2 linked regions of the Caenorhabditis elegans genome follow. The protein of the gene in region 1 interacts with the protein of each later gene in a pairwise test. Each region holds a gene or a part of one and is shown in the gene's direction. Other genes may lie near its edges. The genes, in order: cnt-2 and ifbp-1.

Region 1 (4,839 bases):
TTTTCATATCCGGCAATTTGCCGATTTGCCGGAAATTTTCATATCCGGCAATTTGCCGATTTGCCGGAAATTTTCATATCCGGCAATTTGCCGATTTGCCGGAAATTTCAATTCCAGCAATTTGCCTGTTTGTCGACTTGCCGGAAATTTAATTCCTACAATTTGCCGATTTGCCGGAAATTTTCAATTCCGACAATTTGCCGGTTTGCCGGTTTGCCGGAATTTTTCAATTCCGACAATTTGCCGGTTTGCCGATTTGCCGGAAAAATTTTCACCGAAAAATTCCCAACAAATTAGCAAGAATGTATGAAAAGAGAAGAATTTCAACAAAAAAAAAACTGTTGAATCCTCTTCTTAATTTCCTAGGGGAGTTCACGAGCTGCGTAAATCGACACATGGTTGCAAAATTCAAGAGCTCAACCAATTAGAACTCTTTAATGAGGTGTCAGAGTTCCATTATCTTCTGATATCACATATCTCCTCTCTCTCCTTACGATTAGAGTTGAAAGGCAAAAGTGTATCAAAACGAATCCATTAACTTTCTTTAATGAGGCCTCTGGAATCATCGTCGCGCATTGCCCCCCTACGCGACGTTGGTTCATTGTTCTTTGCAAAGAAAAACGGTGAAAAGCAAAGAAACACGGTTGAATGAGATGAAGTAGTAGTTGGTTGTTCTCAAACGACGTCTTCAACAACCGTTTTCAATGTCCACCGCCGCCGCTTTTTCATTGTAACGGGCGCCCGGGGGTCAGGAGGCACAATGTGTTCGTTCGCCCGTCAACGGCACACACACATTTCGGCACCCCCCTCATCGCCACAGCATGACACTTCCGAAAAGTGTTCTGACTTTTGTGTTCACGCGATCAATTCGATCAGGGTTTTGTTTGTCTTTTGCTTCTTCTTCTTCTTCTTTTTTTCTTCCTCGTCGGCCGCGCTGGCATCGAAAATGACATTTTACTGGAGAATCTACATGTTGCTCTATGCAGGTTTTAGAATTTTGAACTAGTTAATTTGAATTAGGGCTTTCTTGGTAGGCAGGCTTGGTTTCAGGGCCCGACGCCTGCCTTTAGCCTCTTTTTTGTATTCTTACGTAAATTTACAAACTTCTAATATTCTCCTTTCTATGAATTTGATGAAAAACAAATTGAGCCTGAGGCGCGAATTGAGGCGAGAGGCAGTCGGGTTTGCCTCAAGGTTATTCAGGCAGGCGTTTTCATGCCTACATGGAAGCCCTAATTTGAATAGTAAGCATTTTTCAAAGTCAAAAATTCACTTATTCCCAAACTTGTGGGTCTTTAATATTTTTAATGTTAACTTTTCATTACTACTTCCTTTTTCTACTTCCTTTTGATATTTGTGGTTTTTTGGACATTACTGAAGTTCTAATAAACATACGTGTTTCTTAAAACCTACAGTAACCTTGAGAGCCAAGAACAATGAGTTTAAAAATGTATCCGAATTTCTTTTTTCCGAATATTTTATTGGGTCCCGTCACAATTGTATCTCAATTTTCTCATTTTTTCTAACCTGATCATATTTTGCAACTAATATCCTTCGTTATCCTACAATCTCACTTTCTTCTCACCTTTGAATTAAATTAAATTAATTCAATATCCAACTCTTCCAGATATCTCTACATTTCCCCCCATCCCCCAATGATCATTTCTTGACACAATCATGCCCCTCATCCGAAACTACGATTACTATGATCTCCTAAATGTGGCGCCGAGCACCTCTGCACACCGCCCGACGGTGATGGTGACGAGCTCGCGATCCTATATGGAACCACAGAAAAGTCGAATATACTATGGGAAGAATGAGTGGAGAGGTGGCAACACGACAATTCATGATCCGACAGAGTTTGAGGAGACTACTATGGATAAAAATGCAAATGAGATAGCCGGTGACGATAAACGGAAAAAGAAACGGTGGAGGGATCTACTGTTTCCGAATAGTAGACACTCATCACGGAAGGATAAGGAGAATTCGAATGTTAGCGTTGCTACGAGAAGCCTGTCTTCTGTGTCATTCCGATCTGAAAAGCCATCGAGACGACGAGAATCTGGATCCCTATCCCGCCACCGTTACATCCCACCTCCGCCGCTTCCGATGCCTCCGAGAAGGATCATGACGAGCACGTCGATGGGTTACTCGGATGATGCGATGACGTCATCATCGTCACATACCACTACGGACTATGATGATATTGTTCCAGTACCAACACCGTCCTATGTGATATATCCAGCGGCTTCTATCGCTCAGGCCAGCAGGCGGCAGCAACAGGGTTCCGCGAAAAATAGAATTTTTAGAAGTCCTACTTATCATCATGGTAAAGAGCATTCACAAAACATCAATTTAAATTAAAACTGACTTTATTTATAAAAACTTAAAAAACGTAAAAACATTGGTTCAATAATTTTATTGAATGTTTAGCAAAAAAAAAGTTATATTGTGTATTCTGAAAAAACTTTAAATTTCTCTAATTTTCAGATGCATTTGTGAACTCACACGAATGGACGCTGAGCAGGTCGATCAGTGAGATGAAATTGGTGAGTTTTCCCGGTACCGCGCAAAAATTATTATTTTGTGTTTATTGTATAACACTATAAAATGTTTATATATAGTTTGCTCTCGGTAGGTGTCACATTACCAAATGATGCTCCAGAGCGGTCACCAGGTGGCTGCTCGTATGGGTATCTCGTGATGTGTGAAGGTCATTTCGGATCCTTTGAGACAAATTGCCACCACCCAGAGAGAGAGAGATGAGATTAGATGATGGTAGCTCGTTTTTTAATAAATAGATTTATAGTAATAATAATAATTTATTAGGTTTGGTCATACTTAGATTTAGTTCAAGTAGATAAGGTAGTACAAAGGGGGAATTAATACCAGAAATTGATGAAACAGTTCAATTTGGAAATATTAATTCCGCCAATTTGCCAGTTTGCCGAATTGCCGGAAATTTTAAATTTCGCCAATTTGTCGGGTTGCCGGAAAAAAAATCGTTGGCCACCCACCTATGATTATAAGACAGTAATTATTCGACCATCGCCTTTTGCTCTCAGAACATATTGAGGTTTTGAGTTTCGATGCGGCAAATCTCTTTTTTCCAATATCTGCCGAGTACGGCCGGCAAAGTTGGCAAATTTGCCGCCCACCCTTGGTTCACTCCCAAATACATCAAGTTTTGGATGTAGATCACTGCAAAAACAGTACGTCTATCATTTATTTTTTAATGATTGCGCAATTCATCACAGAAAATAGGCACTTTTTGAACTCGAAGCCAGCTGTGCTAGATTCCGTAAGCGGGAATTATGCTATTGTACGTACATGTGTAAAACCCGGCTATTATTAGCACCTGCGCTAATCTCAAGTACTAGTTGTAGGTGACGTCACGCGTGGCCTACGGTGTATCTGAGATTTGTCGGAAAATGTATATGTTGTTTTCCAAAATATTAGGCACTTTTTTGAAAAATTTTCCAAAAAAAAACTAGATTACCGATAGTCTCTATTTCTTCCAAATAATCTATATAACATGCTCCCTTCCTTAAGCCTATCTGAAACTTGCTCCCAGCCAGATTTTGACTCAAATTTTTCTGCCCTCACCTCATTTTAATGAGATTACTAATTGAGCGGCGAGCGGCTCATCTTCAAAAGAAGTAGAGTATTGCATCTCGCCAGACGACAGGATTTCCTCTTTCGTCGTTGTTCTCACCCTCGGCGTTCTCTTTGATTCTCGCAACTCTTGGTTGGATACAAATTACGATGATGACACCTCGAGATTCTATGTTGTTGTACCTAGACATTTTGCAACAAGATTCAAATCTTTGGGTACTTCCGGACAGTTGGTACAAGCACAGGATGCTAGGAACACCTGCGTACTTACCAAAGTAATAAACACAAAGAGCTGTCAATTAAGGCGGCTCACGGGCGATCGTTGGTCACTTAGCTGAGAAGGTTTCGTATTCTCACCTTATTTCCAGACCGCCGTCGCGGCAAAACAAACAAACAAGAATGTCTGAAATTGAGTGGATACTCAAATAAAGGAGAGGTCAATTTTCCATCTTTTGATCTATTTTGGTTTATTTCTTTTGAAATTCAATAGAAGAACTCCGATAAGCAGTGCTGAAACGCATCGGAACTATTTGTTTTTCTGAAAAGTCCATAAATGTAGGATTTTCTCACGACTTTTCTATTCTTCGTTGAAACTGGTAATTGGGATTTTCCTAGAATTTCAGTGCAGGTTTGGCATGATGTGTAGATATTGTTCTTCAAAATAAAACACAGGGAAATATTATTCGATTATCACGTAGTTTTAGAGCACAGTGCCGAATGTGTAATAATCTAAAATTAAAATTTCCGGCAAAGTTCCAAGATTTTAATTACCTTTTGACAGTAGTGATCGGGTTTAGTTCAGAACTTGAATTTCAGTTAAATCGAGCACTACGCTAAGTTTTAAAATTTACTGAGTTTACAAGGAACTTTGATTTTCAACTCGACGGCCAACGAATATATGTTTCTGCAATTTGTATTATATTGGCTTTAGTGTTATCAACATTAGAATCGAAGAGACTTTTTGCAACTTTCAATAATAATTTCAATGTCTGTTGTCGATTTTCCGATACTTGAACATCGTTATTGTGAAAACTACACAGCGTCGAAGCTGTAGTGGAACACTGGGAACACCCAATATCAATGTCAATTTGGATCGGAAACTTTCTCTCTTCATCTCCTACGCCAATGTTCGAACATCAATTATCTTCTCCACCTTCACCTCCTCTCCTTTTGAACATTACGCAGTCAACCCCCCAATTTCTCACCCATCGCAACTTTACAACA
Region 2 (5,274 bases), on another chromosome or scaffold:
CGTCTTTCATCCCATTTTTCCTCGCCCGTTCTTTTCTGAGGGAGAGAGGGAGGGAGAGAGAGAGGGAGAGAGAGAGAGGGAGAGAGAGAGAGAGAAAAGACCTTCAATCAGTTTCTGTAGTAGTCCTTCTCCTTGGGATACTGAATACTAGGTCACCATTTCAATCTCTTTTTTTTCTATTTTTTGTGTTTTTTTCTTTCTCTACCCTCTTTATTGTTCTTGTTTTCTGACCGTCACTTCGCTTTGCACCCCGTTTTTGAATTTTAAACTCCTGCTAAAAGTTATAAATACGAATGTGGGAAGATCGGCTCTTTTTGTTTGGATACTGATGAAAAGTCCTATCAGCTTAAAATCATGAATAGTTTAACAGCACCTTCTCAAGCTTGAAAAAAAGTAAATGTGCAAATGCTCTGCTCAAAGCCCCGAGTTGAAACAAAGTTGTTTACAAAATTATCTTGGTTTAGGTTTTTTGTTCAAAATATCAGTAGTGCAATTACACATTGTTTATTCTACATTTTTAGATCCATAATTTTCTAAAACAATATGATAATTCTTTCTGAATCATCTTTTTTTTCAGTTAAAGGCACTTATCGAGAATTCTTCTTCCCCCCATTTATTTTGCATATCTATTGTGCCAACATGAAATTTGCATTTCTTCCCATTTCTCTTCATTTTCCTTTCATCCAAACATCCACGTTTTCTTCCCCATTGTGCAACGTGGTGCACCATGTCACAGAGAGAGATCTAATCTCCATATTTCTTTCATATAGTTTTTCTTGAGCTTTCAGTATCAATGAACTATGCTCCAAATAAATATTGGTCGGCCTAGCACATCTATGGATGGCCTTATCGGAAGGTTTCTCTCACTTATTCTCATGACTCGCCAATTCGACTTTCACTTGTGTTTCTATCTTTTCAAAATGAAATCACACACCTCTACTTTGGTCTTCGTACCGCTTATCAGTTGTTGGGAAGGGTTTTTCTCCAATAAGGAGGGGTTTAGTGACCTTTCAAGCCTTGTTGACAATTAGCCATTATAGCGTCTAGGAAAATCTAGAACTGATAACAAATAACAAAACATCTAAAATCTAGAAACAGGAACATGTTGATCTGAAAATTGAGCAAATTGATGTTTTGTGCAACTGTGATAAGTCAGAAATTTTGATCACTTTTGATAATAGTTATTCCCCCAACAAAACATTTGAAGGTCTCAAAAACAGAGGGAGTCTCCTCATTTTTGCATTTTCGGAGCCAATTTTGAGTTGCCTTCTTCCATTCCAATTCCTTTATTAAGATGCAGATCCGATGCTAATGATATGCACTATCCATACGTCTTGTGGAATATGAATGAGGAGAGGTCGAAGACTCGGAACCCACCTCTTTTTCTTTTTATTTTTTCTCCTGCAGCTTTTCTTTGCCAATTCTTTGTACACAACTATAGTAATACAATGTGCTCAATGCGTCACTCAGTGCTTCGCCCCTTACTGTCTCCTTCTATTCGTCGATTATTCATAGAGTTCTTCGTCATCCAAAAAAAGTGTTACACATCGCTGTAATAGTTCGGACCCACGCATGCTCATGGTTTTGATATTTTCCATTGTTTATTTGAAATAATACAAAAAAATATTCGATTACCCTAATAGTTTACCAAGTCATGGAACAACCCTGTTTGTGTGCAACCAGAGCATCAGCGTTCTGTTATCAGCTGCCGGCTTTTCTTCTTTTATCACTAAAAAACCATGCCTAGTTTTTTCACCTCTCGACCCTATTCGTCTCGGTCAGGAATCTTTCTTATCTCTAGAATTTCTCCCTCTCTTCCATCACGAACTTGAAACGCGCCATTCCTATTCCTCTACCCCATCATTCTTGCAATCATTCCTCTCGTGGAAATGGGCTCGTTCGCTGAGTCGGCTGCTCTTCTGCAGGCATCGATGTCTCTTTCTCCAACACCTTCTATAATTAACAACAATAATACTGTCGATTATTCTCTATCACTCCAGATGCTCGCGGCTCCGAACGCCGTCTCATTGGCCTCTGTCAACGGTTCTGCTTCACTTCTAACTGCAACAACTGCTGGAATGAAGGCGAATAATAATTCAAATGAGAAATTACCAAGACAACAATGTTACCTGTGTGATTTGCCACGCTGGCCGTGGGCAATCATAAATGATTATATTGAGCCAGTTTGCAGAGGATGCGTCAATTATGAAGGATCAGACAGGTTTGTTTGGAAATAATGATGATGAAAATTCCTTTCGATTTTAAAATTTTCCAAAGTGAAAGTCACAAGTTTTCTTATATTGATACAGGACATGAAAATTTGACACCCTTTTTCTTATAAGACTGCAAGCTAAAAGTTTGTTCTGTAATAGATTTCCTAAAGTTTTTAAAGAATTTTTTTTTTGAAAAAAATTAGAAAAAGAACATATTTTTTTGACGATTTTTCTGCCGAAATTTTTTATAAATTGCAGGACTTCACGATCTTATAGTTTTAAAAAGGTTTCAAGACCAATTGAACTTTTTTTGTTTTTTGTCACCAAATATCTTTTTCTGTTTCAGAATTGAACTCGTACTTGAAGAAACACGCCAACAAAAGAAACTCCAAGGAGTTGGAATCAGTGATCCACAGAATGCAAAGACATCCCTCCGAGATATTACACTTACACAACAACAACCCCTTCAAACATTACCAGTCACTTCTGCTAATGGAATCGGAAGGATAAGCCCACAAAGGACACCTCAGCCAACGGTACTTCCCACGTCCCCATTCCATGTGCCAACTATGAACAACTTGGAGGTAAACATATAAAATTGAAAACTGCAATAGTTTACAAATTTATTTTCAGCAAGTTCTGACCCATCAACGACTTCTGCAAATGACACAAGCCAATCCTCGGGCGGTTGACGATCTTATTCAACAGTCTCTTCGAAGCTTGGGCCCAAATTCTCATCTCTTGGCTCCATTCATGATGAGCATGCTTCCAAGCACAACTTATTCAAATCCAAGAAAACGTGAATCTGACGAAGAGCAGAAGCCTGAAATATATGGAAAAGTGCAGAGAGGTATGTCAGTTAGAATTTAAAATTGACATCGTCCCAAAAAACCGGTTGTTGCGTAAAGTAGTAGTGCCCCCTTCTCTCTCTCCGATTAGCCCGTGTATCGTCTCTCTGTCACCCTCTCGAATTGCGTAATACCGATAGACCCGACAGAAAACCAGCCGAATTTAGAAGAATTAGAAGAAAAGAGTAGCGAGTTGAATGAGTGACCTCGAGAGAAATAAAGGGCTAGATATGGGGTCAACACTTTGAAAACGGAACCGGTTTTAGAGGATGGTAGTGTAGTTGGTTGTGGCGTCGTTGTCGGCGCCTGGCACCCAGGGTCATCACCCCCTCATCATCATCATCTTCTATTTTTCAGGCGATGCCCAAACGACAACTGCCTCGCCAACCTCAACTCATTCACCAGACCATCCGGGAGTTAAGGATCGGAGAGGGATCGCCCCAATTGAGAGAGTTTTGAGATGTACACTGTGCAATGAACGTCTAGAAGACACCCACTTTGTACAATGCCCAACAGTCAGCATTCACAAGTTTTGCTTCCCATGCTCGCGGAGCAGCATCAAGGATCAATGCAAGAGCAGTGATATGTACTGCCCATCAGGCGATAAATGTCCATTAGTCGGATCAGCAATGCCATGGGCATTCATGCAAGGAGAAATTGCACAAATCCTCGGTGACGAGTATGACGAGTTCAAGAGAACCCGAGAAGCTCACGGTCTTGCTCCACCGATGGGTGCCAACGCAGCGACTCTCGCCGCGGCAGCCGCGGCAGCTGCACAGGTATGCCCTTATCAGATTGTGTGAAACTAATTTGTTTGTCCAATTTTGTTATTTATGTTTGGAACTAAATCACCCGCATTTTGCATGGTTTTCAGTTGAGACGGAGACAAAATGCTCAAAGAGCCCACCCTCATCGCACTCTTACACGATCCACAATTAACACTTCTACCTCATGTGTAAGTGATTACTAACATATGACATTGACTAGCATGCAAAAAATTGATTATCGGATTCAAATAAATATGTTGCATGCCCCTAACATCTATTATTTAAACTGATTTTTTTCATTTTCTGAATGAATTAATTTTCAGAACGGCGCCAATCAAACATCTCCAGCCTCCACAACAACTTCTGCGGCTTCTTCCACATCTGCCGCCACGTCACCACAAAACTGATAACCTGTGACGTCACGGAGCACATTAGGCACAAATATTTTTTCTTTCAATCTCTCTTTTTTCTCAGTCCCACTGAAACCGTTCAAAGCTGCACTCAATGCTTTTGTCTGCTTCACCACGATCTCTACTTTTTCCCCCTTTCCAAGTTTTCTTTCTCTCTCTCTCTCTTCGGTCCCAACTACGGTGTGATTTCAAGGGACATTTGGTAATAAATCTTGAGATTTTTTTCCTTTCTCATTTCCCTTTTCCTCGATTACGCTTTTCACTGCTTTTGGGATTTACGGTTTCTTTTCTTTTTTCAGTCCAAAAACTTTGTAATGTTCGTACCTTATCCCCAGTCCATTCTCCCCTGGAACATTGAAAATTCAACTGCCAAACAAATCAAAAAACAACAATCCCACCAAAGCTTTCAGTTTATTTTTTCATTAATTGAATAAAGCTTTGATCAGAAAACTTAAGATATAGTTTGAGAAATTGCAAATTTTCACATATTCTCTCACGAATTCCAAGAATTCAATGTGAAAACTCGGTATAAATTCTACAAAACTTCGAATGATTAGAATTAATCAGAAGGATGGAAGGAAGATATTTTAGATCTGTTCACAAAAATAGTTCCAGTCCTCGATTTGGGCTTCAACAATCTGCGACACCATTGCGGATGTATCTCAGTATGGAAATATAGCATGACGCTTCTGTAAATGTTTCCGGAAACTCTTATCAACACGTTCGACCAACGTCCACTCACCCGTCCAGCGCATGAATCGATAGAAAACTGACGGACAGAAAAATGAACTGATACCAAATTGCTGAATTGAGTTTGAAGAGTATTGTGCAATTGATCATGTCGATCAAGTGAAGTGTGTCTTGCAGCACACTCTGAAATATGGAAAAAGGAGATTCCGGTAAAAGTATTCATGTGAAGATGAAAATTGTTTATGTATTTGTTCTCGAGAATAAACAAAAGTTGATAAAGATAACAACGGTCAAGAGTTCACAAATTTCATCAATTTGCAGAAAATCGTGTCATGAAACAAGCAAA

Evidence for each region.
Region 2: the proteins of cnt-2 (region 1) and ifbp-1 interact in a two-hybrid assay, tested with the Caenorhabditis elegans proteins (one large-scale study listed by BioGRID).

What each region holds. Positions count from the first base shown.
Region 1 is NC_003281.10:10,661,984-10,666,822, forward strand, and holds the start of cnt-2 (Arf-GAP with ANK repeat and PH domain-containing protein cnt-2), read left to right. Parts: upstream 1-1,625; 5' UTR 1,626-1,677; coding exon 1,678-2,329; intron 2,330-2,490; coding exon 2,491-2,549; intron 2,550-4,839.
Region 2 is NC_003283.11:13,369,514-13,374,787, reverse strand, and holds ifbp-1 (Interferon regulatory factor 2-binding protein 1 & 2 zinc finger domain-containing protein), read left to right. Parts: upstream 1-1,767; 5' UTR 1,768-1,889; coding exon 1,890-2,221; intron 2,222-2,559; coding exon 2,560-2,797; intron 2,798-2,846; coding exon 2,847-3,063; intron 3,064-3,418; coding exon 3,419-3,840; intron 3,841-3,935; coding exon 3,936-4,016; intron 4,017-4,151; coding exon 4,152-4,235; 3' UTR 4,236-4,693; downstream 4,694-5,274. Other genes in the region: srx-125 (7TM GPCR serpentine receptor class x (Srx) domain-containing protein), read right to left, coding at 4,798-4,927, 4,981-5,111.